2 linked regions of the Drosophila melanogaster genome follow. The protein of the gene in region 2 interacts with the protein of the main gene of each other region in a pairwise test. Each region holds a gene or a part of one and is shown on either strand. Other genes may lie near its edges.

Region 1 (3,565 bases), about 12 Mb from region 2:
CCCCTTCTGCCACGAGAACCGCCTTCACACTCCGATTGATCTATACGCTGTTTGGCCTCTTGCGCTGCTTTGGCGGCACTTAGTGCCGCCTTCTTGGTCTTATCGTAATCTAATCGAGCTTCGCTAAGTTGCCGCATTAGGACATTAACCCGCCGCTGGGCAGCCTCTAATAGTGCCGTCTTGTCGGCGAGCGATTGTTGCCACACTGTGTATACTTGATCTGAGGCATCCTTAATGTCCTTGGCCAACTTGAGGCTTATGGTCAGTGTCTTGAGCTCCTGCTGGACCAATTGGTGCGTCTTGGCGGCAAGCTGTGCATTCGACTCGGCGGTGATCAGCTCCTGGTTTTCCTCCTGCACCACCATTTCGGCCTCCCTGACCTCCGCTTCCAATTGCTCCAGCACCTGACTCTTTCCGAACAGCACTGCTTCGGCAGCTTTGGCCGCAGCGTTTGCCTTGTCTGCGTATTCACCTTTGATTTTATCAGCGGCCTCCTTAACGGCGTTTTTCATATCATCGTTTGCCTTTTTAGCCTCGTTGGCCGCCTGGACGGCGATTCCGGAGGATCGCTGTTTGGCATTAGTATGGTTTCGCGTCTTCTTTGCCGGCGAGTTGCTATCCTCCCCTGACATGTCGCACACGGTTCCATCACCAGGACCACCGCCACCGAGCCCACCAGCGAAACTCCTCATCAGGTCTGAGTCCTCCGTCTGCATTGGCTTTCGGCGGGTTCGATAATGATTGCCAGTAGCGGATGCCGGGAGCGAGGATAACACAATTATTAGCCACATGATCTGAGTGTCTATCCGCATTTTCCGTTGTCTCGAGCATTTTTCCGACTGTCAATCGGATGGAGATGCCATGCCTGTCAAATCCGGAAATCGAGATTATGCTCTATTGCCAGGCAATGTGCTTATTCCTGCTTAGCCTTGCTTGCGTTTCGCGGAGCCACATAATCATGATAAGCGACTCGGTGAGTCCTAACCCTCGAATCTGTGGGTAAAGTCCTAGTCTATAATTTGTTTTCTCATCGCCATTGAACAAGGATCCTGTTGTGGCTCGATTGTATGAGCCAGCAAGCGAAAAGAAGCAGACTGCAAGTGGAGGATCATCGGAAGGGTGTGAAACAAGTTCTGCTGTGCAAAATTCTTGTGGCCTTAGCCAAAAGAATGCCAAGAGCAAGGCTTCCAGCATTGCAATTAAGGCCGCCCAGGACGCCAAGGCGGCCAATGACGCCCAGATGGCCGCCGGAGAGGCAGCCTCACTCCAAGTGAAACAGGATCTGGCCGAGAAGGCGGTCCAAGCTGCTCGAGCCGCGGAGGCAGCTCTTGCTGGCAAGCAACAGATCATGGAGCAACTGGAGCTGGAGGAAAAGGAGGCGGTGGCCGTTGTGGACGAGGTTAAGAACTCACTCCACAGCACACAGGTGAACGCAGAATCTGCCATGTTAGCGTTTTCCGAAGCCAAGATTCAGCTGGACCAACTGAAAGTCCTTTTGGCTGAGGCCACCGCTCAAATGACCAACATTGAAACTTTCGCTAATGGTGCCCAATTGGAGATGGATGAGAAGGGGCAGCTGTTGGAGGCGGCCAATCGGAGAGTGGAGAGCATCTCCAGACAAGTGGTCGCTGCCAGGCAGGATTACGACAAGACCAAGAAGGCTGCCTATAAGGCGGCTTGTGCGGCAGTGGAGGCCAAGCAAAAGGCTCAAAGGATGCAAAGGGCGATTAGCTCTGCATCCTCTTCAAGCTAGAAACGATCAATATTAGCCATTATCACTTAAATTTTATACATATATATATATTTTTGTAAAGTTTATAATGCTACTTTTTTAAAAATAATATATTATATCAATATAATAAAAAATATACTGCGAGCATGTAATTAAATAGATGCATAATACTATTCATAGCTGCTGGATGTAGGATATACATATATGTTGTATCCATCTAAACAATGAAATTAATGAAAGGCAAATATCCGAGGTAGTTTTTCCGAATTGTTTTTGCTAAGAGAAGGTAATTTTTCAGTCAAACCAGGCTTTCCGAATGGAGTCAGCGTCGAGTGTTTCCAAATATTTGATCGGAATATGCCTGGCACGAAAGCGCTGCTCCTCGTCCTGCTACTGCTGCGTGCGTTCCCTCGACTGGAGAGCTACCACTACCGACCCGCCGAAACGAATGACAAGCAATGCCTGTCCGCATTGTACGGCGATGCCAGCATCGATGGAACTGGTGGGGCGGGCGGTTTGGGAGGCGGATCCGAAGGCTGTGGGGAACCTAATTCGAAGAAAGGGGTTGGCTGCAGCAGCGGAACCGGCGTCTTTGGTCGCGGAGATCCCAAGCAGAAGGCCTCCAACATTGCCCAAAAAGCCGCCCAGGAGGCCAAGGCAGCCAGCGATTCGCAGATGGCAGCTGCCGAGGCGGCTGCATCCCAGGTCAAAAACGAACTGGCCGCCAAGGCAGCTCAATCCGCTCGTGCGGCGGAGGCGGCACTGGCCGGAAAGCAGCAGATTGTTGAACAGCTGCAGCAGGAGATGACCGAGGCGGATGCGGTTGTCACTGAGGTGACCTCGTCCCTACAAAACACCCAAGCGAATGCCAATGCCGCCGCATCGGCTGCCCACGAGGCCCAATCGCAACTCAATCAGCTGAAGAACCTTGTGATAGCCGCCACGTCCAATCTGGCCAATATCGAGAACGTGGCCAGTGGAGCGCAGCAGGAGCTGGCCGAGAAGACGCAGCTCCTGGAGGCTGCCAAGCACCGGGTGGAGAATCTAACCCGCCAGATGACCGAGGCCAAGACGGACTTCGAGAAGACCAAGCAGGCGGCCTACAAAGCGGCCTGTGCTGCAGTGGAGGCCAAGCAGAAGGCACAGAGGTCTCGTCGAATGACCCACCGCCAGCAGGTGCGCTGGGGTCCGCGCAAGATGGCCGGAAAGTTTTCCGGCGCAGGCAGCCAAAATCTAGCACCGAATTCGGGGATCAACTGATCTTTTCTATATTTTGTTACGTTTCGATTTCGGTTTAATAAGTTTCCTATTAAAAGATAATGGTTTTATAACTAAAAATTAAAATGTTTCACGATAATTTTGTTAGTATTAAATAAATATATTTAAATAAGTTTAATTTGCATGGAAATATTTGATTTATTCTTTTGAATTTAATTTAAAATTTTAAGCCGTTAAATTTTGCGTCTACGCTGTTAAGTGTGCATCTATGTCAAATGAGACTGTTACGTGCACTGTTAGCCGAGTGATGGGCAGCACTGGTGGCACAGCTGTTCAATGTTATAAAATCAACCGGCAAATTGTTTAGACGTTTTTTTTTTTTACTTATTTGTATATTAAAATAGCTTTTAAAGTGATGCTTATTAGAAGAATTAAGTGCCTCAGATATTTGGGAACTCGCTACAACAGTTCGCACTATGTGACAACTCCAATTTTCTATGTAAATGCAGGTAAGCATTTTAGACCAAATCAGTCAATATTACGGATAATAAAAAGAAATAATTTTTAACAAATAGCTCCTCACATTGGACACCTGTACTCAGCGGTCATAGCCGA
Region 2 (4,003 bases):
AATTGGAATCTGCTTGGGCTTTTGTTCTTATTCCATGCGAATGCACATTGAAGTTAAGGTCTCGATTCGATTCGATTCGATGCAATGCGATGCAATGCGATGCGATGCTCGATGTTTTGCGGACTCTCAATTAAGCAAGTTGACATTTTGACATGTCTGAACTGAAACCGAAACTTGTTCAAAAAATTGAAAATTCATACATGCGCGTACACAACACACACGAAATATTTATAAAGTCAGACACAAGCCCCAAAGACCCCAAGAGGTTGCTTCCAGCAAGGAGTACGAGCCGGGCCCGCTGAGGCCACAGTAAAATTTAATTTTAATGCATAAGCAAATTGAATTTAAGCAACAGGAAAATTGTTCGTCTGGCCACAAAGGTGCCGCATGTGGAAGCAAAAACCACTTGCCAGGGAAACGAAAAGGCGGACTAAAACCACGTCGAGTGTTTCATGCTGAAAGTTTTCACCTGAAGAAGGCGAGGCGAAAATTCCTTAAACCAACCACAATTACCGAAATGGGGTGCCTTCATCAAACATTTTTAAGAGCAGGACATGCTTGAAAAATTCTCGGTCTCCGAATTAGGCAAAGGAAAAACTAGCACACCGCAAAAATATAATTGAAATAATTGGGGGCGTATTAAAAAGTGTTCGAAAATAGTTAGACCGCAGAGAAGTGTAAATTGTATTTTTTGAAGAGAAATACACGATTTTTTTTATGCAGTGACCCCAAATATTTTTATTTCATTTAAAGTAGCTGTACTACTTCTGGCTTATCATCCATACGAATTCCTCGTAGTTGATCATGCCATCCCCATCAAAATCAGCCTCGCGAATCATCTCATCGATCTCCTCGTCGGTGACCTTTTCGCCCAGATTGATCATCACAAAGCGAAGCTCAGCTGGTGATATAAAGCCATCGCCATCACGATCAAAAATCTTGAATGCCTCACGCATTTCCTCCTCAGTGTCAGTTTCCCGCATTTGCTTGGCCATTATACCGCAGAACTCAGTGAAGTTCAGTTGGCCATTGTTGTTGTTCTCGGCCTCAGCTATCAAATCTTGCAACTCGGCCTCCGTTGGATTCTGGCCCAAGGTGCGCATCAATGTGCCCAGCTCACGGGTGGCGATCTTGCCGGTTCCCTCCTTGTCGAACTGGACAAAGGCATCCTTGAACTCGGCAATCTGCTCCTCCGTTAGTTCGGACATCTTGATAAATTTTCAAAGATTTTCGGTATTTATCGAGATATTTTTAAATGCTTGCAGAGCTATAGACTGTTGGAATTTACGAAAGGGAATGAGCCGAAACTGTTTTGATGATACTGATACTGACAGGTCGGGTTCCCAACCCCTAAAGCCTGCTTTTTCCTTATGTAGTGGACATCATTCTGACAAATCGCACATAGTCTATATTGCCTTCCAAATCAGAATTTGCATCACGGATGATCTCCTCCACCTCATCATCCGTCAATTGCTCCCCCATGTTCTGCATTATGTGACGAAATTCCGATTCAGATATTAAGCCGGTTCCTTCTTTGTCAAAGACTCTGAATGCAGCTATAATTTCATCCTCGGTAGACATGTTTGCGTACCTCTGAGACATGATGTGAAGGAAATCGCTGAGATATAACTCACCGGATCCATCAGCATCGATCTCGGCCTGAATTTCCTGCAATTCCATATCACTGGGATAGTGGGCCACAGACAGCATTAGTTGCCTGAGATTTGTTATAGGAATAACCTTAGTGTCTTGGTCGTCAAACAGGGAAAAGGCAATCTCCAAATCCTTGACCTGTTCTTCGGTCAGATTGTGGGTGCGAATGGTCCGTTCCTCTGGCGGCGGAGTAAGGAATTCGAAATCCATGGCCAAAGGAAGGGGTTGGGGGTGGGAAAATTTTGGGGTCACTGAACACTCACTACAAATTTTCGACAAACTTTAGTTCACAACTTCATATTTATAATTTAATAACAAGAAAAGCCTACTCTTGTTATCATTTTATCTATTGTATATTGGCTTTTTTTTTTTTTTAAAGAATAGTCCAAACTGGTGGTATCCGATATTTCAAGATCTTCGATTCCATTGGCCATGCTTTTGAAATTTATTGATTAGATCTACAATCGGTTATGTTTTTTATTTTTCAAAGAGAGTGTTACGTCTCCATCATCATGGTCACAAAGCGAACGTAGTCGATTTTCAGTTCCGTGTTGGCGTCGGCATCACGTATCATTTCCTCGATCTCGTCCTCTTCCATTTCATCGCCATATTCAGTCATTATCTGACGGAACTCATTCTCGTGTATAAAGCCAGATCCATCTTTGTCGAAGACTTTGAAAGCGAGGATAACTTCATCTTCGACGGTCAAATTCTCGTACCGTTTCGACATGATGTATAGGAAATCACTGAGATAAAGCTCGCCGGATCCATCCGTATCAATTTCGGTTATATAATCCTGTATCTCGTTTTCCGGCGGGTTGTGGGCCACGGCTCGCAGGCAATCTCTCAATAACTTGATCGGAATGACCTTGGCATTATCGTCGTCGAAGAGGGCGAAGGCCGCCTCACAATCCTTGAGCTGTTCATCATTCAGCGTGTGGGTATGAACTGTTCGTACCTCCGGAGGTGGACTACTGAAATCAAAGTCATCCATGGCAAATTGTAAGTATACCTTGGGCTAAAATTTGGATTTCCCGAAAAGATGAATTTTAAAATTTAGTTTTTCGAAAATAGTTGTGTTTAAATATTGTCTTTTCATTGACAGTTTTCCATTTAGACTGAAATTGTGGAAAATTCAAGGCATTGACAACAAAAGATTACTAGTTAGTTTTTTAAAATTTTTTTTTTGTTAGTTGCCCCACGCTCTTTTCTGACATGGTTCTTAAACTCATTTTCAGTAAGATAAATTTGTGAAATGGAAAAAACTACAACTGCTCCGTGATGCAGTAACACCGCAGTAAAATATAGCAGGATTTAACAATTAAATTTGCAACAATTTTCCGAATAATGTTTTCATAGCCTCTGGCTACCGCTTCGAGCAATGTGGCTGTTGAAAAGCATGGGTAATTACATTTTTAATTAAATGCGTCGCAGTTTGTTCTGTTTTTATATTATTTTTATTTTTGTTGGTGCATTTATACAACTGTTCAGTATTTTTTCTGCTCAGCCATTTGCTGCCATCGTTGGTCTCTTGGGTCATAAAATGTTTTTTGTGTTTGTATTTTTTTTTTTTTTATTGAGCATTACGGGCAAATAGGGAAATTATCCAATGCAAAATTTCGAGCAATTTGCATAATTTGGGAGCGGAGAAGGCGAGAACCAAACTGCACAAACCCATGTCCCTGGCCATCAACCTTTCTCACACGTGCTCCTCCCAGTGGAGCGAACAATGGGGGCTTCTTGGTAATGAGAAGCAAATCCTGGCCACGAAGGACACAAAGGATTTAGGATTGGGGCCAAAGTTGAGCCACACAACAAGGCACTGTCAAGCATTTCTCTGCATAGATTAGAGAGGACTTTTCGGGCCAGAGATGCGGGATTATATATTTGTATGGAAAACAATAGTTCCAAGTATTACTTAGCAGGTAATATATTAATTAGGGCTACTAACTAAATAAATAAAAGTTGTTTGCGTTAAAGGAGAGTAAAAACAATTTGCTTAAAATAATTGGCAGATTTGTAGATCTCCCAACTAATAAATTCTATTCTGATGACCACATGTGTATATGTTTATACGATTGTCTGGTAAATGCAGCTCAGAATATGTTTGTTGTTTGACTTTAATCAGGCATAAACAGGACGATATAGCAACAGCCGAGCCGCAATCGAAATGGCAACAGACCTTTGGGGGATTTGGATAATTTGCATTTCTGTAGTGGGACAGGACACACATGCAAAGGGTTTTCATGTGCAAATCCCTTTATGCCAGTTTTGGAACCACAACTTCATATAGTATTACGTATATTCGCTCGGGTAAGTAGTATTCGTATTATTTTGAATGGAGAATGCA

Evidence for each region.
Region 1: the proteins of Acam (region 2) and CG14840 interact in a two-hybrid assay, tested with the Drosophila melanogaster proteins (2 studies listed by BioGRID).

The regions. Positions count from the first base shown.
Region 1 is NT_033777.3:14,259,708-14,263,272, reverse strand, and holds CG14840 (uncharacterized protein), read left to right. Parts: upstream 1-2,059; 5' UTR 2,060-2,089; coding exon 2,090-2,992; 3' UTR 2,993-3,065; downstream 3,066-3,565. Other genes in the region: CG14839 (uncharacterized protein), read right to left, coding at 1-812; CG14841 (uncharacterized protein), read left to right, coding at 857-973, 1,046-1,753; MetRS-m (Methionyl-tRNA synthetase, mitochondrial), read left to right, coding at 3,366-3,459, 3,526-3,565.
Region 2 is NT_033777.3:25,809,849-25,813,851, reverse strand, and holds Acam (androcam), read right to left. Parts: upstream 1,942-4,003; 5' UTR 1,864-1,941; coding exon of another isoform or gene 1,369-1,863; 5' UTR 1,209-1,368; coding exon 762-1,208; 3' UTR 718-761; downstream 1-717. Other genes in the region: CG17770 (uncharacterized protein), read right to left, coding at 1,369-1,863; CG5024 (uncharacterized protein), read right to left, coding at 2,150-2,647. UniProt on the Drosophila melanogaster protein: May be involved in calcium-mediated signal transduction.